Linked DNA regions of Nothobranchius furzeri. The protein of the gene in region 4 binds, or shares a complex with, the protein of the main gene of each other region. Links are inferred from orthologs where the notes say so. Each region holds a gene or a part of one and is shown on either strand. Other genes may lie near its edges.

The links.
Region 1: the proteins of pola2 (region 4) and pola1 are in contact, whole or in part, in a cryo-EM structure (PDB 8G99), measured with the Xenopus laevis proteins. The link is inferred for Nothobranchius furzeri from reciprocal best matches to the Homo sapiens genes POLA2 and POLA1. Residues at the interface, in XP_018112289.1 of Xenopus laevis: Met280, Tyr281, Lys282, Phe283, Met284, Phe285, Gln286, Lys287, Leu288, Met289, Ile291, Arg292, Val295, Ser296, Ile299, Glu314, Thr316, Leu320, Pro321, Gln323, Glu324, Thr325, Val326, Gln331, Gly333, Cys334, Asp335, Ser336, Asn337, Gly338; in NP_001082055.1 of Xenopus laevis: Gln548, Lys551, His553, Gln554, Asn555, Phe642, Glu645, Val646, Gln649, Asn652, Leu673, Gly675, Arg676, Phe679, Lys1137, Asp1141, Pro1143, Asp1144, Ile1321, Gln1322, His1324, Asn1325, Lys1326, Leu1328, Leu1329, Arg1332, Ile1335, Lys1336, Tyr1338, Tyr1339.
Region 2: pola2 (region 4) and prim2 share a complex: the UniProt entries of both Homo sapiens proteins name them as parts of the alpha DNA polymerase complex. The link is inferred for Nothobranchius furzeri from reciprocal best matches to the Homo sapiens genes POLA2 and PRIM2.
Region 3: pola2 (region 4) and prim1 share a complex: the UniProt entries of both Homo sapiens proteins name them as parts of the alpha DNA polymerase complex. The link is inferred for Nothobranchius furzeri from reciprocal best matches to the Homo sapiens genes POLA2 and PRIM1.

Annotation. Positions count from the first base shown.
Region 1 is NC_091747.1:54,885,680-54,891,091, reverse strand, and holds part of pola1 (DNA polymerase alpha catalytic subunit), read left to right. Parts: intron 1-82; coding exon 83-243; intron 244-333; coding exon 334-446; intron 447-895; coding exon 896-1,009; intron 1,010-1,092; coding exon 1,093-1,167; intron 1,168-1,275; coding exon 1,276-1,414; intron 1,415-1,498; coding exon 1,499-1,653; intron 1,654-1,730; coding exon 1,731-1,815; intron 1,816-1,938; coding exon 1,939-2,000; intron 2,001-2,174; coding exon 2,175-2,264; intron 2,265-2,367; coding exon 2,368-2,484; intron 2,485-2,569; coding exon 2,570-2,745; intron 2,746-2,821; coding exon 2,822-2,951; intron 2,952-3,028; coding exon 3,029-3,148; intron 3,149-3,227; coding exon 3,228-3,318; intron 3,319-3,399; coding exon 3,400-3,524; intron 3,525-3,595; coding exon 3,596-3,745; intron 3,746-4,036; coding exon 4,037-4,159; intron 4,160-5,412. UniProt on the Homo sapiens protein: Catalytic subunit of the DNA polymerase alpha complex (also known as the alpha DNA polymerase-primase complex) which plays an essential role in the initiation of DNA synthesis.
Region 2 is NC_091752.1:19,571,125-19,577,193, reverse strand, and holds the end of prim2 (DNA primase large subunit), read left to right. Parts: intron 1-4,388; coding exon 4,389-4,619; 3' UTR 4,620-4,732; downstream 4,733-6,069. UniProt on the Homo sapiens protein: Regulatory subunit of the DNA primase complex and component of the DNA polymerase alpha complex (also known as the alpha DNA polymerase-primase complex) which play an essential role in the initiation of DNA synthesis.
Region 3 is NC_091755.1:56,471,206-56,477,295, forward strand, and holds the start of prim1 (DNA primase small subunit), read left to right. Parts: upstream 1-2,417; 5' UTR 2,418-2,540; coding exon 2,541-2,649; intron 2,650-3,207; coding exon 3,208-3,365; intron 3,366-3,439; coding exon 3,440-3,546; intron 3,547-3,627; coding exon 3,628-3,701; intron 3,702-3,777; coding exon 3,778-3,914; intron 3,915-4,881; coding exon 4,882-4,940; intron 4,941-5,015; coding exon 5,016-5,125; intron 5,126-5,237; coding exon 5,238-5,329; intron 5,330-6,090. UniProt on the Homo sapiens protein: Catalytic subunit of the DNA primase complex and component of the DNA polymerase alpha complex (also known as the alpha DNA polymerase-primase complex - primosome/replisome) which play an essential role in the initiation of DNA synthesis.
Region 4 is NC_091741.1:88,849,284-88,855,359, reverse strand, and holds the start of pola2 (DNA polymerase alpha subunit B), read left to right. Parts: upstream 1-2,501; 5' UTR 2,502-2,791; intron 2,792-5,157; 5' UTR 5,158-5,313; intron 5,314-5,616; 5' UTR 5,617-5,738; intron 5,739-5,987; 5' UTR 5,988-6,076. Other genes in the region: top6bl (type 2 DNA topoisomerase 6 subunit B-like), read left to right, coding at 117-200, 278-333, 701-772, 862-1,081. UniProt on the Homo sapiens protein: Accessory subunit of the DNA polymerase alpha complex (also known as the alpha DNA polymerase-primase complex) which plays an essential role in the initiation of DNA synthesis.

The DNA.
Region 1 (5,412 bases), on a different chromosome or scaffold from region 4:
CAGATGTGTTTATTTGAGTTTGTCAGATAAGTTTGTAAAATGTTTGATTCAGACAGATTCAAGCATCGTTTTGATTTTGTAGGTCCAACAGAGTTGGAGTCTCTTGGGGTCAAGAGGAGAGTTCAGCTCCTGTGGAGGTGCAGGTGGACTCCAGCCAGCTCCCCATGGTGGAGGGCTCCGACGGGGAGCAGGTCTTCCGCTTTTACTGGTTGGATGCGTTTGAAGACCCGTACAACCAAGCAGGTGTGGCTTCATGACAGCTGCAGTTAAAACAACCCCTGTTGTAGTTTAACGCTCTAATCAGGTGCGTGTTTGGCCTAAACTCTGTTCCAGGTGTGGTGTACCTGTTTGGGAAAGTCTGGATCGAGTCGGCAAAGAGTCACGTCAGCTGCTGCGTCACTGTCAAGAACATCGAACGCATCATGTACCTTCTGCCTCGTGAATTTGTGAGTGCCGTTCTCTCAGACCGTAGAGAAACCAGATCCACGGCATCTGTCTGTTTTGTGGTAACCCTAACCCAAATAACCAGTATTCGTATAGCGCCTTCTTAGGGTTCCACAACCCCCCAAGGCGCTTCACAACACAATCAGTCATTCACACAGTTACACGCTGGTGGGGGATGAGCTACGTTGTAGCCACAGCTAGCCTGGGGCACGCTGACAAGAGGCGAGGCTGCCGATCACAAGTGCCACCATTTTTACTGTAGAGGGCTAGAGGCTAACATTGAGCTAACAATGCTAACTAGCTACTTTTTTCATTTACCAGCGACTTGATATTACAGTGAAATGTATATCTACTCATCGGCGAGCTAGTTTGTTTATAAACATGGGCTGCAGTACCCACGTTTCACCACAAGATGTCATTCTTACCTCATGCTCCATTAATCAAACTACAGAAAACGGACCCAAAGAGCGGAAAGGTGTCGGACACGCCTGTAGGGATGATGGAGGTCTACCAGGAGTTCAGTGAGCTCTTAGAGAAGTTTAAGATCATGAAGTTCAAGTCCAAGGTCAGAGGTCGTTTCATTTACAGACGATGAGAGAAGAAAAAATGGCGTCGTGTTTTGATCTGATGTGTTGTTTATTTTTTCAGCCGGTGCAGAAAAACTACGCCTTTGAAATTCCTGATGTGCCCAGTCAGTGTGATTACCTGGAGATCAGATACTCTGTGAGCGCGCACACACACACACACACACACACACACACACACACACACACACACACACACACACACACACACACACACTAATATCTTTTATATTTTGTGTTTTTCCAGGCTGAACACCCCGCTCTGCCCCCTGACCTCAAGGGGGCGACATTCTCCCACATTTTCGGGACAAACACTTCCAGCCTGGAGCATTTTCTTCTCAGCAGGAAGATCAAAGGCCCTTGCTGGTTGGACATCAAAACACCACGTAAGCCAAAATGTAAAGATATTTAGTTTTTCCTCTCCGATGCAGAGTCTTCCTAATCCAGCACCTCCACCCCGTTTGCATTAGAGCTGACGAGCCAGCCGGCCAGCTGGTGTAAGGTGGAGGCCCTCGCTCTGAGGAGTGATTTAGTCTCTGTGATCAAAGACCTGCCGCCTCCGCCTCTCACCGTCATGTCCATCAGCCTGAAGACGGTTCAGAACCCCAGAACGCACCACAACGAGGTCAGAACGCCACGGCGGACGCGTAATTTTCTCGTTTGGTTTGAATGTTGTCGCTCACGCACCCTAACCCTCCGCAGATCGTGTCTTTAGCTGCACTCATTCATTATCAGTTCCACATGGATAAAGCTCCTCCTCAGCCTCCGCATCAGACTCATTTCTGTGGTGAGTCATTAGAATTGTCATTTTTATGCTATAAAGGGGGAAATCTTGGTTATTATTGATGTGCTTTTCAAAATAAGATGTGCAGTGAACTCATTAATGTCTAAATAAAACCTGTTCCCTCAGTGATCAGTAAACCAGCTGACTGCATCTTTCCCTACGACTTTAACGAGGCAGTAAGGAAGAAGGTGAGACGTCCTAGTTTGTCTGTTTGAGACAAAGTAAATGCAAAATGAGCTTCGATTGGCTGATTAGGTGCACAGATTTGTTCCAGTCGTGCACCTCTGTCTAGTTTTTGTTGTTAAAGATGAGTAAAGAAACGGCAAAAGTTGATTTATGTTTTTGTGCCTCCTCTCTGCTAGAACGGGAAGGTGGAGATAGCGGGAACAGAGCGAGCTCTGCTCGGCTTCTTCCTCGCCAAGATGCATAAGATCGACCCTGATGTGCTGGTGGTGAGTCAGAAACACTCCGGATGAAACCAGAAGCCGGAAAGCTGAGATTCTCCTGTTTAAAAATCACATTTAACCCTTTTTGTTGGTTTTTTTTCTCTTGTAGGGTCATGACATCTTTGGATTTGACTTGGAGGTTCTGTTGCAGAGGATCAACATGTGCAAGGTTCCCCACTGGTCCAAAATCGGCCGTCTCCGGAGGGCCAATATGCCCAAATTAGGGGTGAGGACGTAAACAAACGTCATCGGGACTAGAAAAGTGTTTTTCCGCTCACGCAGCAGCTAGCTAGACTGTTTTTTGTTTGCAGGGTCGTGGCGCCTTTGCAGAGAAGAGTGCGACCTGCGGCCGTCTGGTGTGCGACGTGGAGATCTCAGCCAAAGAGCTGATTCGCTGTAAGAGCTACCACCTGACTGAGCTCGCGGCGCAGGTGCTGAAGGTGGAGAGGTCCACGGTCCCCCAGGAGGCCATCAGGAACCTCTACAGGTGAGTAAAGCTTATTGGATCAAAGTGATAAAAAAGACCTTTACCCGTGTGGATCATAGATCTGTGTGTCATTCAGCGACTCTCCCCACCTGCTGTACCTGTTGGAGTTGACGTGGACCGACGCCAAGCTGATCCTGCAGATCATGTGTGAGCTCAACGTGCTTCCTCTCGCCCTGCAGATCACCAACATCGCCGGAAACGTCATGGTAACCACAAAGTCCCGCTTCTGCTGCCCTCAGCAGCTGTCTCCGTCTCTGACTTCCTTTCCACGGTCTCTTTTCAGTCTCGTACTCTGATGGGCGGCCGCTCGGAGAGGAACGAGTTCCTGCTGCTTCACGCGTTCCACGACAAAAACTACATCGTCCCCGACAAGCCGTCCTTCAGAAAAGCTCAGCTGGAGACTGTGAGGGTGCTGCAACAAACAGGCAAACTTTGTTTTAGCTTCTTCCGTTAATCGTTGTTTGCTGTTGTCTGTCTTCCAGGCTGAGGGGGACGATGATGCGGATGCAGGAAAAGGAAAGAGGAAGAAGAAGGCGGCTTACGCCGGCGGTCTGGTCCTGGATCCTAAAGTTGGTGAGGCCCATTTGTCTGTGAAATGTTTCACTTCTTCATGACCCGTTTTCACTTTAAACCTTCCTTCTCCTGTCTCCGTAGGGTTCTACGATAAGTTTGTGTTGCTGCTGGACTTCAACAGCTTGTACCCCTCCATCATCCAGGAGTTCAACATCTGCTTCACCACCGTGCAGCGAGAGGCTCTCGGCTCCCGCAGGAAGAATGAGGTACGCGGGACCCAACCTACGGCTAATGCACCTGGGCTTTTAGAGGCTAACCCTAGTATCCATGGTTATAGGAGGACGATCCAGAGGAGATTCCTGAGGTTCCAGATCCCGACCTGGAAATGGGAATTCTGCCCAGAGAGATCAGGAAGCTGGTGGAACGACGTAAGCAGGTGAAGCAGCTGATGAGACAGCAGGACGTCAATACGGATCTCTACATGCAGGTACACACACACACACACACACACACACACACACACACACACACACACACACACACACACACACACACACACACACACACACACACACACACACACACACATGTTTTTAGGGGGTTGTGTGGACTACGTCTTCTGAGATTTTTGTGTGGACCCTACATGCAGGAGCAGGTACACACACACACACACACACACACACACACACACACACACACACACACACACACACACACACACACACACACAGTTCATTCCTCCAAGAGATGCAAAAGTAAAGGATTCTCGTTTTCTCAGTATGACATCCGTCAGAAGGCCCTGAAGCTAACGGCTAACAGCATGTACGGCTGTCTGGGGTTCAGCTACAGCCGCTTCTACGCCAAACCGCTCGCTGCTCTGGTCACACACAAAGGCAGAGAGGTAGGTGGAGATGTGTATCGACTCATTTGACAGGGACACATGCAGTGTTGTAGGTCCCTAGGGATGTAAGGAAATATTGATGATGCAATATATCGCAATATTTTCTTCTGCAGTACTGTATTGATTTTCAAAAGCCGTGTATCGAATTTTTGGAAGAACTTACACATTTACATTTGTGTATTTTCTTTTCTTTTGGTGCAATTTAAATGCCGACCGCTAGTTGGCAGCAGAGTGCAATGGGTTTTGTTTTCACTGTGAAATGTAATGTAAATCCCTCTGTTATGGTTCAGATACCCCATGTTAAACATGTTATGCATCCGTTTGTACTCTTTATTAAATCACTAATATCGTCTGGCTGAATGTATCGCAGTATATCCTATCATCTCCCCTGTATCGTGATAAGTATCGTATCGCCAGAATTTCACCAATACACATCCCTATAGGTCCCGCCTGATGGTAACATCCATGATTGGAGGGGAAGGTTCGCAGTGGCATCAAAGCCTGTTTTAAACTAAATTCTACGCTCCATTAATAAGCTGTTCACCTACACGAACGTAAAATAATAAGTTACATAAAATACACAAGTGAACAATAAAAACTAGGGCCGGGACTTTAACGCATTAATTATGATTAATTAGAATAAAATTAACGCATTTAATCACAGCTTGCATTTCGAGCGAGGTGGAACCTTTGTCATTGCACAATTTCCTCGTAGACCGAATATCACTGACGCACACAACAATGCACAGTGCTAATGGCTACTGAAACGGAATAAAAACAGAAAGAAGTTGCCTTGCTTGGACTGATGCAGGATTTAGGAAACCCGTCCGCCTCTTTTCTTAACTTGGGGGAAAAAAAACTTCCTGACAACAACGGAGTCCGTGTCACGGACATTTTTTAGAGATCGTCTCTGCTGCAGCTGCCTGGTGGCACCGGAAACTTTACAAAAGTTGCGGTAAGCTGTATTTTAAACATTTACGTAACATCTGTGCAGCGCTGAAAGCACCAGACAGAATAATTCTGTGCCCTAACAGTAGTTTATGAAAGTAATCAGACAAACGAGAGGCACCTGGCTGCCGCTGGGAGAACGCTCCGTGTTCTCACTACTCTGTAAACTATCACAAACAACGTGTCTTAAAGTTGAAAATAGAAGTTTAAGTTAAAACAGAAACACTCTAAAAATGTGATTAATTTATATTAATTAATTACAAAGCCTCTAATTAATTAGATTAAAATTTTTAATCGAGTCACGG
Region 2 (6,069 bases), on a different chromosome or scaffold from region 4:
GCAGAGGTAAAACACTAACACAAAATTGTCCTCCAACTGTGTTGAGTTATTTATTTAGTTCATATACAGCATCACATGCGGTGTGCCTCAGGGTTCAATTCTAGGCCCAGTGCTTTTTAACCTCTAAATGCTCCCTCTGGGCAGCGTCATCAGGAGAAATGGGGTGAATTTCCACAGTTATGCTAACGATACACAGTTGTACATCTCCGTGATGACGCACAGCCAATGGAAACACTTTTTAACTGCATTTTAGATATTAAATCATGGATGACTGAAAACTTTCTCCAGCTAAACCAAGGCAAAACTGAAGTTTTAGTCATCGGTCCTGAGGCCCAGAGAGAGAAACTTTTACCTAAACTACAATCAATGCCTTTTTATCCATCACTACAAGTGAAGAATCTGGGCGTTATTTTTTACTCTGAGCTGACTTTTATCCCCCACATTAAAAACATCACAAAAATAGGTTTTTACCATCTTAAGAATATCGCCAGAGTCCGCCCCATTCTCTCTCGGGCCAATACGGAGACGCTAGTGCATGCTTTTATAACCAATGGAATTGATTACTGCAATGCGCTGCTTTCTGGTCTCCCCAAAAAGAGCATCTCAGGTTTACAACTTTTACAAAACTCAGCAGCACGTGTCCTGATGAAGACTAGGAAGCGGGAGCACATCACTCCGGTTTTAAAATCACTGCACTGGCTCCCCGTATGTTTTAGGATCGATTTTAAGGTTCTTTTAATGTTTTTTTAAGTGTCTTAATGGTCTCGGGCCTTCTTATCTTTCAGAAATGCTTTTACTATATAAACCCTTGCGGTCTCTGCGCTCCTCTGGCAGCCGTCTCCTAATTATTCCTAAAGTTAAGACTCACACCCACTGCGAGGCGTCCTTCAAGTACTACGGCCCTCGCCTTTGGAATGGGCTGCCGGAGGACCTCAGGGCCGAAGGGAACGTCCAGGCTTTTAAGAATAGGCTCAAGACCCACCTTTTTAGCTTAGCTTTTAACTGATTACTATTTATCTACCTGTATCACCTGTCATATTTGTTTTTTTTATATATATACCTATTTATCTCTTTTAATTAATTTTATTATTTTATTTACATCTTGGTGTTATTACATGATTATGTTTTCTTTTACCATCTTTATAATCACTTTATCAGTTACTTTCTATCCATATTAGCTTTTGTTATTTTACAGTTATATATTTTAATCCTCCAGTGTTTCCTCTGCGGAGCCCTCTGCCTTGGGGCCGGTGGTCAGCGGCGGCGGCCGGGGCGCTCCTCGGGTAGTGCCTGGGTAGTGGGGGGGGGGGTTTCCGCCCTCCCCCCCTGGCGTCATGGGCGGGTGTCTTGGCTGCTGCTGTGGATCTGTTACTGTTAGGGCAGATGGCTCCACTGATGATGTGTCGTTCATTACCTGACCCATCTGAAGTCAGCCTATTGTTTACTCTGTTGTTCGTGTGTGTGTGTGCGTGTTCGAGTGTCTGGGTGATTGTATGTTCACCTTGGAAGTGGAAGTTGGGTGCGGGAGGGGAACCGTAATTGTCAATTGTTTTATACTTGGGGAGGGGGGCTGGGATGGGAATATGGGATCTATGGGGTCATTTTAATCTGTGAAGCACTTTGAGTTGCATTTTTTGCATGAAAAGTGCTATACAAATAAAGTTGATTTGATTTGATATAATTTATTCTTGTGCTGCTGGTGCAAAAATTTTAAAAGTGACACAAAAAACATTTTTGCACTTAATTTTTTTTATGTTTTAAAGCAGAATCCTGGAGTTTTTTTTTCCTGAGAGAGCACCTCTTGTGGCAGAAAAATTATCAAAAAATAATTGACAGATTGCCTACAGGGTAAGACTAGCCTGGCAAGCCATCCCATATATGTGAAAATTGAGTCTGGCCACAACCCATTGAGAGAGCTCAGTCATGGGGGAATCTACGGTCATCTGTCTCTGCACGCTATTGGGCAACAAACAATGTGACATACTCACCGCTCTGGATGCCAGTCAACGAGGCAATCCACCATACACTGTCGGAGAAGATGAAGATACATCATTTTTCTAAATAAAAGACTTAAGTACCTCCATTTGCTGTTGACTCAAAGAAAAGCCAAAGTCTAAATAGTCCAAAGTCGATACTAAAGCTGTTTCAAATAAGCTCCCACTGCCTTAGTTGTTTCGCTCTGTTGCATCATCCCGCCCATCAAACTAAGAGAGTGCTGTAATTGGCCCACCAACCTTTTTTTTTTTTTTTTTTTTTTTTTTTTTTTTTTACCGTGTCCTGTCTGGCTGTGAAGCAAGCAGAATTGATGTCTGAATGCTGGTGACAAGCCTTACAGATTTATTCTCAGGTGGAGCATCAAAGCGTTTGCTTTTAATGTCATGCCTGATACTTAAAACTTTATTGTTATTGTTGTTGAATGCTTTGTAATTCCGACCAGACACGGAGACAGAGGTGAAAGAGAAAGGAAAAGAAAAGGTGGTGGGGGGGGGTTTCCACAAAAATAAACAATAATGAACAAGAGTCTGCTTCTAGACCTGCAGAAAAAAAGACAAAAAAAAACAAAGGGACACAAAAAAAAGGGACACAACAACAATACAACAAGATCAACCTATCACTGCGTCAACTTGATGAAAAGAATATATATATATATATAATCAACATTGCTTAACTGAAGAATCACGATAATAAATCACAACGCATTAAGTGCCCACCATAGTCTTAAGACCTGTGTTTAACGTGCCCAAGCCCATACTTTTGAGAGCACCATGTGAGCACCTGTGTGTGTACACGCGCTTGTTTATTGAAGGTTTATCTATAGGAGCGTCCAACAGAGAGTGTGAGGGACCACAGATCCGCCCCCCAAAGATGCGCAGGAGACGGGGGGAGCTCCAAGTCCCAGAGATCCAGGCGCTGCCCCAGAACGCAGGAACCCCAAGGAGACTGCAACCAGGAAGGCCCCCGCCCCCCTCGAGAGGCACAGAGGATCGCCCCGGGGGGCCACAACCAGCAGCCGGCAGAGTCCCGGGAGACATCAGCGGCAAGCCCACAGGCCCGCCCGCAGCCTCCCACCCCCTAGCCGGCCGAGCCCGGGACCCAGCGACCCGGGACCCAGGGGCGACCACCCCCGCCGGGGACCCAGCAGGCCCAGGGACCCAGACCCCACCAGGCAGCCACCGGGATCTAACAGGCAGATGCCAAAATCTTAAACCCCCAGACCCGGTTGCCACGAACACTCAGGCAGACCAAGGCACAAGCCACCACACCAGGTGTGGCAGGGGGAGGGGGGACAGAGATCTATATCATCAAGAGAAGTTCCAGGAGAGGGGAGGACCCAAAGGCCCCACCTGACATATACAGTCATACACAAACACAGTCACACGCTCCCTCCCTCATGCTCACACATGCACATACAACCCAAGACTTACAAAAATGCACGCCGGACACCCACTCATGCTCCCCATACACACCCTATTCACTCTGGTCCCGGTACTGCTGCACATTGGGTACAACCATCACCGGTAACCAGAGTTTGACCCTTTCTGCTGGGGTGCTGATGAGCAGGCTCCCCCGCCCAACGCTGAGCACAGCAACCCACCACCCCAGACCCCAACCAGACGGCCAGATCTCCCTCCTAGCCTCCAGCCCCAGGAAGCCAAGCAACAACAGAGGTGGCTAAGACCCCTAGTCTCCCTCCGCCTGCTCCAATATAGTGTTGTGTGATCATGAGGTGTATTCCATGGCTGTGGTGAGTGGGCAGTGCGGGCATCATCCAGCATATGCCAGCTGATGCCACTGCACCACCCCAAACTAATAGAGCACTGTGATTGGCTCATCAAACCAATAGAGTGCTGTCATTGGTCCACCAAACTGATAGAATGCTCCTATTGGTCCACCAAACCAATAGAGCGCTGTGATTTGTCCACTAAACTAATAGAGTGCTGTGATTGGCCCATCAAACCAATAGAGCGCTGTGATTGGCCCACCAAACCAATAGAGCGCTGTGAATGGCATATCACAATATCCCTCAGGCTTTATGGATCTCTAAAAGACCATACATAATTCCTTAAAGTAGGAAAACTGGATTGCTGCTCTAAGCTGACACCCTGACACACTTTTATTGGTGATAACTGAGTTCCATTTTTATTTTCTGAGCGATGATTTCCTCTCTTGGGCTTTTAGATATATGATGACTTAGCCTTTCTAATGCGGCTGTGACAGTCTGAGCCTGAAGTAATCACTAAACCGTTTTTCATCGTCAGCAATGAGGGTGATGTTTAATGATGGTTTTATGAAAGGTGACATTACGACGAATCAGTCAATCAACATGCCACCTCTCTGACAACCCGCCGTTATTATCCTCTTTTGACCTTTCTCATTTCTCTGTGCAGGTGGAGGACACGCCTTTCTCGCTCAGTCACCCCAACCAGTACTTCTCAGAAAGCCAGAAGCTTCTGGGTGGAGGAGGAGGGGGAAAGGAGCTGAAGCGAGAGGTGGATGCTTCACAGAGGTCGCAGGAAAACTCTTCCAGCAGAGGGTTCTCGGCAGCTCAGGAGGCAGCAGACTCCGAGCATGAAGCTGAGATGACGAAAGACCTGAACGCTTTCTTTGAAGACGTCTGATGTTTTTGTTTAAATATATAAATGTACCAGAGTTTGTGCATGTTTAGAAATCGGCAAAATTAGATGAAAACTGTTGGCGACATGTTGGAATAAAGTCATTAATATTCATCTCACCAGCGTCCTTAAAATAACACTTTGTTTTGTTCCTTTGCTGTGTGAACTCTGGTGGCCTGTCCTCAGTCTTGGCAGGGATTTTTTAATGGGGGTGGGATGGCTTGTGTGGGGGTGTTATTGAGTTGAGAATTCCCCTGCCGTCTCAGAAACAGTGTCATTGTATTTGCTGGCAGCAGTGTGGATGAATGGCGACAGGAGGATGGATGAAAAAATAAACTATTTCCACAGTTGTATTACTCTGCCTTGGAATATTGCCTCATGGTGCGCAGGGCAATTTATTCAAAGCATGCGTGGTCAAGAGATACTCCCTCCCTCCTCTCTTGAGCTTGTCTGCTTAATAATTTGCAGGAGAAAAATAAATGATGGCTGTCTAAAAGTAGAAAAGCCTTTATACTGCTGTGATGCTGCTGCAGCAAGAGCTAATACAGGATTTTTAGTAGATCTGTAAAGTTGATCCTTTTTTTCTTAGAAATAAAATTTTGATGAATAAATGAAATGTATTGTTGCTGCTGTTTGAACCAACATTGGGGCATTAGAGCTGCACATATCTAGAATTAAATCCATGACCGGTGCTTGACGTGGAGGATTTATTCAGTATAATAAGGTGACTGGATAACAGTTTGGAGTCAGGCAGGTTGCTGTCAGCAAGAGACTCTTGATGTCTAATATCTGGTAGAGCATGACTACGTTTGACACAGCTGGCCTCATTCTGAGACTGTTTATCTTCTTCAGGTGGTTCCTACAATCATTATTCATCAACCTGCTTGCATATTTTGAGCATCATCTGTGTGCAGGTTTGTGTTTTCCTTCTGAAATCTACAAAATGACACATGGTAGGTGGTGACACTGGTTTAAAGGTGTGAAACACTGAAAAAAAAAAGTTTAATGATTATTTCTGAATATAATTTTGTCACTTGAGTTTTTCATGCAGGCTAAACATGAAGATGGTCTACACCTGTCTCCTGCATTAGCTAGGATTTGAAAAGCCTGACAGATTTACATCACACTGTCACTAAAACATTCATAGGCTCGCCCGTCTTAACCCAGGGTGGGGACAGCTTTTTGTCGTTGGAAACTCAGAAACTGTGACTTCCGAGTGGGAAAAATCAACTAAAGAGCCCCCCAAATTTGGACCTCCCATTCAGACAGTTGGAAAAATTTTAAAATCCTGACCACAACATCCAGTATGGCAGCTCTCCGTATCAACAAGTTTCAGTTGAAATGTGTTAATTTAACAGGACACACTTATAAAAGTGCCTTTAAAATCAATGTTACATGTAGCGCTTGCAACTCTAAGCTGCAGATGAGCAGCATATGTGTTAAGTAGTCATTTGTT
Region 3 (6,090 bases), on a different chromosome or scaffold from region 4:
AAAGGATCCGATTAAATCGTTTCCCCCTCATTTACAGTCAGGAAGTACAGCGCAGTGCTCACGGCTCTGGGTTTAATCAAGTTTAATTGTTTCTCTTTGCAACAATCTTCACAAGAAGGCAAAACAGTTAAATGGCAGGGTTATAGATATTTCCATTTGACTGTTTATTTTGACAGATAAACTCAAGGATGTTGGTTGTTTTGAAAGAATTACCCCGATGCACACTGATGAGCTGACATTTTAATCGTTACACACATCGCGGAGGTAACTAAATCCATCAAGAAAAGATTCCCATCAGAACATCAGAGCTTTATACTGGACACTGTGCTCAGCGCGGATCGGAGCGCACACGGTGGACAGTGAGCTGAAGATCTGTAGAGGGGTTCGCAGCGCAGAACCACAGCGATGCGGTAAGATTTCCTCCCACTGAAACGGTCTGGAAACCCGGTCTCTCTGAGGGATGTGTCACTTGGAAAAATGTTCACTGATTATGAAACTTTGGCTGAATAGTGCTTGTTCCCGTCTCTAATATGGAGATGCACGACACATCCAGTCTGAGGCAGAATAGCCTCTTCAGCTCAGAAAGCACCTGTAGAGACATTTGATCACGCACAAAGTTTATGTGGAGCAGAAGCGGTCGGGCCACGGCAGGTGAAATGTTCCTAGCCTACATGAAGTGTAACGGTTTAATTGTAACATTAATATGTTACTGGACACACTGGTCTGGTTGGTTAGACCAGTGTTTGAAGTGGAAAACACACACACGCACGCACACACACCAATTAAATAACGCTGATAGCATGGACTAGAAGACAGGTGATGGTATTTAAATGATGATCAGGCTGCTGTAAAATGTAATCTCTATCCACATCAGACTTATCCTCTATTCTTTCTCTATTTGCTCTGCTGTCTGGGCTGACCTACCTGATGGTGCGTGCGGCGCATCTAGCGGCTGTGATGCACATTTTACGCATTTGGAGAGGTGGGTTGGATGCTTTGCTTTACTGGCAGATGGATTTTTTTTTTTCAAAAATGTCGGAGATTTTGCCCCATGAATAACCGTTAAAACCACCGGTGTGCATGTACCCTTATGAAAGAGTCCTACGTTGAGAGGTAAATATTAGAAGTGCAGGTAATGCATTCTGGTGCCTATAAATGAAAAATGAATGAAACATATCTATATAAAAAGGCTGCGCAGCGGCACAGTCGTTAGAGCTTTTGCCTTGCAGCAAGAAGGTCCTGGGTTCGCTTCCCGGCCTGGGAACTTTCTGCATGGAGTTGGCATGTTCTCCCTGTGCATGCATGGGTTCTCTTCAGGTACTCCAGCTTCCTCCCACAGTTCAAAAACACGACTGTTAGGTTGATTGGTCTGTCTAAATTGTCCCTAGGTGTGTGTGTGTGTGTGTGTGTGTGTGTGTGTGTGTGTGTGTGTGTGTGTGTGTGTGTGTGTGTGTGTGTGTGTGTGTGATTGTTTGTCTTGTGTGTCTCTGTGTTGCCCTGCGATGGACTGGCTCTCTGTCAAGGATATACCCCGCCTGATTGCCCGTTGACCGCTGGAGATAGGCACCAGCCCCCACCCCCCCATTCGCAACCCTGCATGGACAAGCAGGTTCAGAAAATGGATGGATGGATCTATATAAAAATAACAAAAATACAGAGAACAAATAGATTAAACATACTCAACAATCAACTTCTTGTATAATTCTATTTAACCCAGCTCATCAACATAATGATCCAGTAGATGTTTTTTGTAGCTCTTGATTTACCTTTACACATTTTTTGCAGCATGGATAGTGATTGTAGATTACTCAGGTATGTGTTTCCCCAAACTTCCACACAGTAATTCAAGTATGGCATTACCAGTGATGAAAACAGATTTATCCTAAAGATATAATTTCGTATGTCACAAATTTGACTCAAAAAGTTTATTTTGAAATCACAGGTTGGTGCGGTTTCATAGTTCGCACCATTTAATTCCTGGTGGTTTTAGCCGCGCTTCCATGCGGGCGGAGTCTAGTAGCAATAAATACCTCGAATGTTAAAAATAGAAAAGGCCACATTGGTCAAACATTCATGCAAGCTATTTGAGATGTTAATATTGTTTTATATTGCATCTGTTTCTATTAGCGAAGTTTCCCCTCTCAGTTGATCACAAATACAACTTCCTCCCCGCTCGTTTTGACTTCCGCCCGGCGAATCAAAAGAAGCAAACCCTACCATCGACATAAATATACTGGACATCTCCATTCCAAAGTCAACCCAGGGCCAAAAACTTAACGCTTTATAGTCTTACTTTATTCACAGAAAACCTTGAGTTCCATTCAAGTTGAACTCTGTAATGTTATTTTAGTTTAGGAAAATAAATAAAACGTTTTCATGGTACTTCCTGTTATTTGTGACGTAGTTGTCGCAGTTGTTTGTCATCACTGTTTCTTTCGAGTTTTCCCGCGCTGTCCTTAGCTAACCAAGCTGTCAGCTTGACTGAAGAGCAGCAGTAACATATACCTAGCTGCACATTAGCTTGGCTTTACTACATTATAATGCCATCTTCAGACTACGACTCCGCTTGTCTGCCGGACTTATTACCGCTGTACTACCGACGACTGTTCCCCTTCTACCAGTATTACCGCTGGCTTACCTACGGAGGAGGTAACTTCACAAACAGACCAGAACCACGAGCAAGCGTCAGACCGGGCTGTTAGCTTGTCTTCTGTGATTTAACTAGCTATATATGTAATTAGGCTAGCTAGCCTTCTATGCTGAACTTCAGGGTTTGTGGATTTTACGTTTGCTTCCCCCTGTGTAACATTTGAGATGTATTTACAACTGTTACAGAGCTTTTCAGAGCGTTTGACTTATGTTACGTTTAAACAAGGATTCACTTTAGTAAGACAGCTGCTAATTTATTTAAGGAAAGCAGCTTGTTCCCAGTATTCAAGAGTTGATGAAGACCTGAAAAAAACAACAATAAAGCCTGGGTAGTTAAACGTCACCGTATTTTATTGCACTGATAAATTCAGATAAGATTAAGTAAAATTTTTCTGGAAGACGTTGATTTTATTAGTAATGAAACTTTACAGCGATTATTTTATATGTGATATTTAAACAAAAGTTTGTCACTCATTAGAAAAGAGACAGATTTTGCTTGATTGCCTTTATGAAATAAACACATACAGTGTTTATTTGTCCATTTTCCCACATTCTCAGTGCAGAAGAACTACTTCCAAAACCGAGAGTTCTGCTTCACGCTCAAAGATGACATCTACGTGCGCTACCAGTCTTTCAGCACGCTGAACGAGCTGGAGAAGGAAATGCAGAAGATGAACCCTTATAAGATTGATATTGGAGCAGTGTACAGTCACAGGGTAAGACTTTATTCTGGATCAAATCATGTTTACTATCGTGTAAGTGTAGTAAAGTCACTGTTTGTCATCAACAGCCTAATCAACACAACACGGTGAAGTCCGGCAGCTTCCAAGCTCTAGAGAAGGAACTTGTGTTTGATATTGATATGACAGATTATGATGATGTCCGAAGCTGCTGCAGGTGATTATTTCTAGTTCTGAGCCTGTTCAGAGTGTTCTGGAGGACAATCTACCAAAATGACCTTTTCAAACTTCGATCCAGTGCTGCAGACATTTGCACCAAGTGCTGGACGCTGATGACCATTGCTATCCGCATCTTGGACAGAGCGCTCAGAGGTGTGTCCCTGGTCTTATGTCAGGCATGTGTTTATTTTGAATCAAATCAGATTGACATTTTTTATGTTTCTCCCAGAGGACTTTGGCTTTCAGCACCTGCTGTGGGTTTATTCTGGCAGAAGGGGAGTTCATTGTTGGGTGTGTGATGAAGCTGCCCGGAAGCTCTCTGCTGCAGCACGCTCTGCTGTGGCTGAATATCTCAGCCTGATCAAGGTAGCAATGGTTTTACCGGTATTAGGTGATTTTAAAGCAAAACTCCAAGATTATTTAAGTCTTTTAAGCAGTCCTAGAATTTAAAACCACATTTATCTGGTTGTTGTTGTTGGATAAAGGCAGCTTGGGGGTGTCTAGTGTAGCATACCAAAATGTCTGTGCTGTTGCTGACCTGCTTTCCTATGTAAATTAATAATGCTGTAACGGCCACAGAGAAATGGTTCGTTTGGAGAAAAGCTGGTTTAACACGTCATTAGCACGACACACACCCTAAAATCTGCAGGTCCCAACCTAATCATTGGTCATGATTAGGGGTGTGATGGTTCACGGGGCGGTGTTGAACCGTTTCAGTTTGGTCCACTTGCGTATTGTTTTGGTTTAACAAAGAAGAATGTTGGAGCACCAATCACATTCCAGGATATAATGGGAGTATCCAGATTGTGAATGAATGAATGCTAGATTAATCCATAGCCTGCAATCTGGTCTAACAGAGTACAGCCACACACACACACACACACACACACAGACAGATAGGCAGATCGATCCACATCTTGCAGTCCTTGTTCTCCTGCTTGTTTATCTGCAAAACCTGCTCCTCAACCCATTTGAATCTCTCTTTGGAAAACACTCACTTCTTTACTCGTTTGTCTGCACTGATAGTAACACACACACACACACTCACACACAGGTCACAGACTTACTTGCTTCAAGAAATAAAGCTATTGGGGTGCGTTGGTCAATTTTTCTGGGTTCCTGAGCCCCAACAAAGTTTCATGGGATATATTAAGGCTCAAATAATAGTTTCCAATCGTTAAAAAAATTACTTTTATCTAGAACCCCTTTAAAGTTCAAATTCAAAGCCACTTAACAGCTGCTCCCATAACTAAAAGCTGCTTATTTATTGGTTTCTGACTAACATACAGTACAGTTGTATGTCCAGATGTGATTTCTAAATGTAACCTTTTAGGGTGGTGAAGATACTGTGAAGAAAGTAGTGCTGACAGATCCAATTCACCCCTTTATCAGGTAAATATACGTTTGACTGTTGTTTTTGTCATTGCTGCTTCTGTTTGTGGCTTCAGCTGTGTCTAATCCCACCAGAGAGTCTTTGGCAGTGGTGGAGCACTTCTTCCCTCAATACGCGCTGCAGGATCAGGACATACTGGCCCGCAAAGAGTCTGTAGACAAAGTCCTGGCTCTAGTTCCTGATGATATCCTTTCTCTAACGTGCTTGCTCAGTAATTTCCTGAATATGAAAACCAGCTGAATTGATATGATTTTTAAAAAGCAGTGATAATTATGAGGCCTTAATTTGTTCTGTACATGTAAAAAAAGAGTTACAGCAGGACTTCCAGAATGAGAAGAAATCAGATGTTCGTTGGAAACTGATCAAAGACCAAGCCCGAAAGAAACAGGTTGGTCTTCGTGGTTGTTCTAGTAAATAAAATTCTGTGTATTTATATAGCACCAGGTCACGCTGAGTCCTCTCATTGCACTTCACAAAGTTAACCGTTGAGTTCAGTTCATTATGCCAGTTAGTGAAGTTTCCTACAAAAGGAAGTCCTTTCAGAAATGCAACAAAAACTTAATAATGTTCCTGATCATTTTTTGTTTGTTTTTATATTTAAAAAAACAACAACTGTTGTTTGTAGTAGTCGGTTCAGATGAATGCTTCTCAAATTGTGCTGCATCCACAGCGTGCCAGTGTCAGCAGGTTCAGGCTTGCTGGCAGCCTTACATTCAGCAAGTGCAAGGCTGCAAAATCCCTTTTCTTCCTAATGTAAATATTTGTTTAAATATGTCTGAAGTCAAAGTTTTGATAAATTAAATGTAGTTTTCATTGAATTTTTGAAAGTGTATTTTATGGGAACTAGTTTTGTAAACCATATGAAATTTAAAAAGTAATATTCATAATTTTACCGATTAGTGAGCATTAAAGGGATACTTTGCAACTTTTTCATTTTTTAAATAATTTTCTTGAGTGGGTATGTGCTAAAATGACCCTTTACAGCTGGACTATTCAATTCCGTGCCTCGAGGGCCGGTATCCGGCACGTTTTAGTGGTTTCTCTGCTCCAACACATTTAGTTCAGCTCATCAGGCTCTGCAGAAACCTGTTAATTACCTGGCGATTGAAATCACGTGTTGAAGAAGAGTTAAAACTAAAATGTGCTGAT
Region 4 (6,076 bases):
CTAAAGATTTTCTTTATTGCGGTTTGTAGATGTATAGAATTATTCAAATATCAACTTTGGCTGTTAGGTTGTTAATTATAAGCATATACAGGGATTGACTTGTATCCTGTTTGCAGGTAGCAAATACAGAAGATTGCACACCAAAGTTGCAAGCTCACGTTGAGGAATTTCTGCAGACCTTTGGTTTGAGTAACACAGAAGTATGTAAAGTTTTCCACTGAGTCATGTGTTGTGATGGTAAGGATATACTGATTTGAATTTTCTCTCCTTTTTACAGATAAAAATACACCTCAAATTCAAATGGGGTCAACAGACTTTAGAGCGTGACCTCAGGTAATCCCACGGCTATGAAGGAAGCAGTCAGAGAGCTTCCTGGTAGATTATCTGACAAGATAACAACTGTTTTACACGCTGCTGTTTGTGTCGGAGTTAACAGAGCTTAAATGTTTGGTTTTTGCTTTAATGTGCTTTTACACATGGTTAGTCAAGTGACCCAACACATACTGAACTGTTAGCTCATAGTTTTTAGTGACTAGTAGAACTTTCTTTTCTTTTCTTTTTTTTTTATCATTAAAGAAACATACAGCTGACCAAATTAAAACTGATGGAGGTTGTCATGGTTTTCTTAGTTCATAGACTAAAAATTTACACTTTTGTCTATGTTTTCTGTAGCGTTACTCCTCTGTTCATATTCCTACAGAGTCAAGAGGAAGAGTAGAGTTGCCATGGGAGACCAGCCACCTCTGACCTTTGACGTGACTTGTTCTGCACAGTCAGTAGTTTGTAGTTTTGTATCAGTTCAATTGAGAATATGTGAAACGTGCTTCACATACAGTATGTTAAGTGTAGTTTTCTTTAAAGGCCTCCATGGGCTGTGAAAGAGCGCTGGTGTCACGGTGGACATCCTGTCAGAGGAGGTAGGTTGGCTCTCAGCATTCCACCACCAGCTATGGATCAAGGCGTGTTCGGGGACCTCAGAGTCCAGTTTGTTACACTCCTGAGGCCCTGCGTGCTGCAGTACCCCAACCTGCCTACAGAGCTGACCCACATACAAATATCCTTCTTCACGATGTCATCATAACTCTGTTATGCTCTCTCTGTGGGAATGAGTGGTGGAAAAGGTCAGAAGAGGCTGTTTCAGCTTTTCTTTTTCTTTCTATATTTGTCGTTCAGCTGCTTTAATGACGCGGGGACTTCCCATATGCTGGTCTGTGTCTTAGGACACCAGGGACAAGAGTGGACACCTCACAGCCTAAGGCCGTGTCTCTTTGCTCGAAATAGGGTGAAGAGCTCCCTTCGGATTCAGTCATGTGGTTGTTGATTCACACATAAACCAAAATAACTTTCAAAGAAAGACGACAAATGTTTGTTTTTACATTAAAATAAGGGTTTGCTTTAATTCTATTATATTGCTACTAATTTACATTTATATCTACGGAGATCAACTGAAGTAGGAGTTGTTACATTTATAGGATTACCAAGCTTATAAAAAAGCATAAAGATGTTTGTTTTTTCTAGTTTGTACCAATGTGTGAGGTCTTGATAAATATGTCTGCGTCTTGTTTTGGCCAGAGTACTGCACACGTTCTATGCAGCACCTCGGTTTTAGGGGTGGATGATTAGCTCCACCCTTCCTGCTCTTTTGTGGGTGTGCCTTAATCAAGAAAAGGCCTACGGTTTTGAGCCAAACATAAATTTAGTCAAACGTTACACTTCATAACCCTAAAACCAGATTATTACAGCCAGACAGCATCTCGGCTCCAAAATAACACAATTTAATTCCTTCCTGGTTAAAAAAAACTTTTTGTTTGAAATGGTTTATGAACGTGTTATGACTCACCTAGTAGATCAGTTTAGTTAGAAAAATACAGAAAATTATGGGCATCTCCAGCCAATCATAATCATTCATAAGGCTCCATAACCAGAGGAGTCACTCCTGTTCCTTTAGGTTTTTATAGGCTTTCATTATGAAACTAAAATACAATAGTTCTTTATTGTCATTACACCCGAAGGCTCACTCCTTCCTACATTGAACGACTCATGATTGTTGTCTTTTCTTGTGTGTTGTATGTACAGTCTATGGTGTTGTCGCAGCAAAGCTAAAAACAAAAGGGTTCACACTTCAGACAGTAAAGTAAAATCTGCATAACTTGACTGTGCTGCAGGGAGGGGACAGAGCAGAGGAGGCATGATCATTTTGCTGTGAGGTGAAGATTTGATGAATTTCTTTTTTTGCAAGTTAAAACTGCTCACCGGATTAAAAATATGACTTTGATAATCCCAGAGAGAAATGATAAGATGGATGAGATACTTAAAAACCTATAGAGGCTTAAACACAGAGGCAGGGTTGCATTCTGGCTTTTTTGTGGTATTAATAATAAAATATCTCAAGGAGAAATAGGTTTTTTTTTAACCATTTCTTTGATCCTCTAATATTTTTAATATAAGGAAAGCTCTTTATTTATCACCCATCTTACTTTCCTCAGCACGAGTGACCAACAACCAGATTAGTCAGTCAAGGATATGAGAGTTTAAAAACACAGACTAATGCTGAAGGGTGCAGATCTCTAATGAGACCTCCCGGTAGGTCTGCTGCTTCTCTTCTGCGATTGAGCCGATTTATCCTCCTGATCTGAATTATTGGTCCTTGACCTGACGTGTCTTCAGGTGCTGGTGTACAGCCCCAGTAATGTCCCTGTGCCGGCTCCGTTCCACTTCTTCAGCAGCCTTCCTGCTGCGCTGGACTGTCAGCAGCTGGGTCTGGGCAGAATCCACTGCTCCTCATATAAAGGTAAACAACAACCACTGCTGGGAACAGCGTGTTCTGATGGCCCAGATGCATCGTGGGTCTTTGTAGCTAGAGGGCTTGGTCTTCTAATGAAAATGTGGAAATTGGAAAAGTTGGACGTTCAGGATAATTAATGCTATCTTGTAAAAACACATTTTGAAGTAATCAAAACACATATTTGGGTCTGAGTTTGGATTCCACTCAGAATGTTTATGTGTAAGAAAACATGTACAGGACTCAAGCTGCAGTTAAAAAAATGATTCCCATGAGCGTGTAGTTAAACTAAAAGGAAAAAGTAAAGAATGTAGAAAAGTATTTAAAACACAGACACAAGGAGAGGATGAACGATAGGCTTTCTTCTTGTTTTTAGCAAGCACATGAAATTTACTGCCTTTGAAATGGTCGTCTTGGCTCAGAAGACTTGTGTGTTACATCTGTAGCGAGTTCCCACCATGGCTGGAGCATGTGATCACATCCCTTCAGTTGACACTGTTGTTTTGGGAGGAGCAGTGTTTCCTTTGGCTCTGTGGTAATGTCAGTGGATCTACATCATCATCACCACCATAAAAACGCTGGAATGATGATGTTTAGCATGACGGATGCTCTCTTAGTTCAGATTTGTGGTCATTTGTGGAGCTAAATAACAATTCAGAGGAAATTAAAGTTATTTCAAACCACATCAAGGGTGGGAAAGCTTGATGTCAAACGACGGTCATCCGGAATGGTGATCCGAAACAGGTTTGGCTCAGTGAAACATCATCTAAGAGATAATTAAACACAGTGTGTTTATGGAAAAGGGGGAAATACAGTTAGGAATGTCGCATAAAAGTGTATTATAATGAGGCTAAATGCAATTTATTAGGATCACTTTAAACCCAACAAGAAATATATTCAGTCAGGAAATCTTATCAACAAATATCTGTTTTTACATCATGCTGGCCTCATATTTAACTCATGTGTTTAGCCTTTGTTGTGCCTGTCAGCCCAGTGAACATTATTATAAATTCACTGTTAACTTCCTCACAGGGTTTCTCGTTTATTATACAAACAAATATACAGGAATTAATTTTGTGGGAGTTTAGAAACAACTCTTAAATCTATCGTTCTTATCTCGCAAATGAAAGAGGTTTTTTTTATTTTTTTATTTTTTACATAAGGGTTAAAAGGTAATAATAATCTAAATTAAATAATTATAAAGAAAAAATAATAAACATTATGCTGAAATCTGGAGTTTTCCTCTTTCGGTGTGATTAAATTATTTATGATTTTTTTAGAAATACATAAATGTGATTTTCTTACTGTGATATAATGTAGGTTATTAGTTGTTTTTTTTTTTTTTTTGGTTTGCTAAGCCCACCCCTGTCCCCTAGAGCTCATTGCTATATGAACCGAGTGCCAGTCAGCACTCACCAATAGCATTAGGCTGCCATTTACCCAGACGTTAATCACATAGCGTTCTCGGGCGTTTATTTGCGTACCTCGGTTGATGCAGAGTTGGTGACCTTTCTCTTGGACAAGTTAACATATAAATATATGAAAACACAACATAATGTGAACATAATAATTGTAAACAATGTGTTTTAGCTCTGTTTTGTCATTTTTTTGTCAGCTAGAAGAGCACGTTCAGTAACAGGAGGCGTTGCTTTTGGCTGTAAGTACGGAAGTGAAAACCACAGCTTGGTGCGATACATTTGTCAGCCACTAGATGGTGCCGTCAGATCAAAAAATAATGTGGATTTCATCTTTAAAGTCCCTTTAGTTGTCACACACACTGGTGTGCGGTGAAATTTGTTCTCCGCATTTGACACATCCATGGGGGAGCAGGAAGCTGCAAACACTCAAGAACAATTTCAGTAAGTTGCAGGGACTAATATGTTCTCCACCAAGTTTATTATTTCTTACTCTCAAGTTCCAAAAAATGCAAAACATTTTGGACGTTTTTTCAACATGACAACAAAGAAGGGTTATATTCACAGGGACCTCACTTCTCTACATTTTTACGTAGATTTTCTGTGAATCACAACCACGATCAAACTGACACGTCTGCACGATTCGCAGTGTTTGTTTCTCCAAACCGAACCCCGACTGCTGCTGTGTGATTTATCTTACATTATAAACTGAAGTCTGGTCTGAAAAGAGACGTAACTTTACACCCCCCAATTAATCTCAGGTCTCAGATTAAGAGCAATTACATCAAATGATGGGTAATTTGCCCAACCCAGAGATGAGTCTGCCATTGCGTTAGAGGTTAATACATGTGTAGGAAACCCTATGGATGTTCCATCAAACAGTATTTGGGTTTGTTTATTTAAATGTCCCGTAAAATATTAAAAATCATTATTATTTAAATGTTTCTGTATCTCATGCAGATCTTGTGCACAGTGGTGTTGTGTTCACTGTGGAACAAGAACACTGGGACGACCCAGTGCATGAATCAGCACACGTCCCGGTGCAACAGAGCCTCCAACTCTTCCTCTTCTTGCAGCACGATGACCCCTTCATCTCTGAGGTCACTGATTTTATTGGTGAGACATCACAACAGCATTGTGTAACCATGACACACCAGACAGATGAAAGGCTGTTCAGCTCCATTAATTGTATATTTATAGAGATAAGGGCTTCTTAAGGCAGATAGTATTAGTGGTAAGGGCTGTGCTGTTGACGTTTTTTTAAGTTTTTTACACCTGTTTCCAAATCTCTCTCCTTTAAAGGATTTGATTTTGATTTTAGTTCAACTCAGAATCTTTATTAAACTATGGAGACTGTGCAACAAGAAACAAACATGGATACAAAAATGTCATTTTCACTGAAGCTGTCTCTTCTTCTAGCTGCAGAGATGTTAATAGAGCACCACCTGGAGGATATTCTGAGCAACAACAGGCAGGCCATCACAGCAGCTGTTCAGACTGAACTCTGCAACTGCCTGAAAGCACAAAATCGCAGAAAAAAGGCAAGATTAACACGCGATTAGTGTTTTTGCTTTTATATTTCAGCTATCTAGTTGTAATTATACGTATCATGTTTGGATTTGGAGAGGCAAAACAACAATATGGGCTTATGGAAACAAATGTTTAACTCTTTTTATATAAGAAATTTGTTTTGCTTTACTATTTGAAGACATCATTGTAAATAATAATAGAAATAGAAATAGAAATGGCAGATGGATAAAACAGCAGCTTGTGTTGTGTAATGCTTTAAGCGACAAGAGACGCTGAAATCGGCTGCAGCAGTGATTCTCAGCTCCACCATCAGTATTGTGAGCAGCAGCAGTAACACGGACTTCAGGAA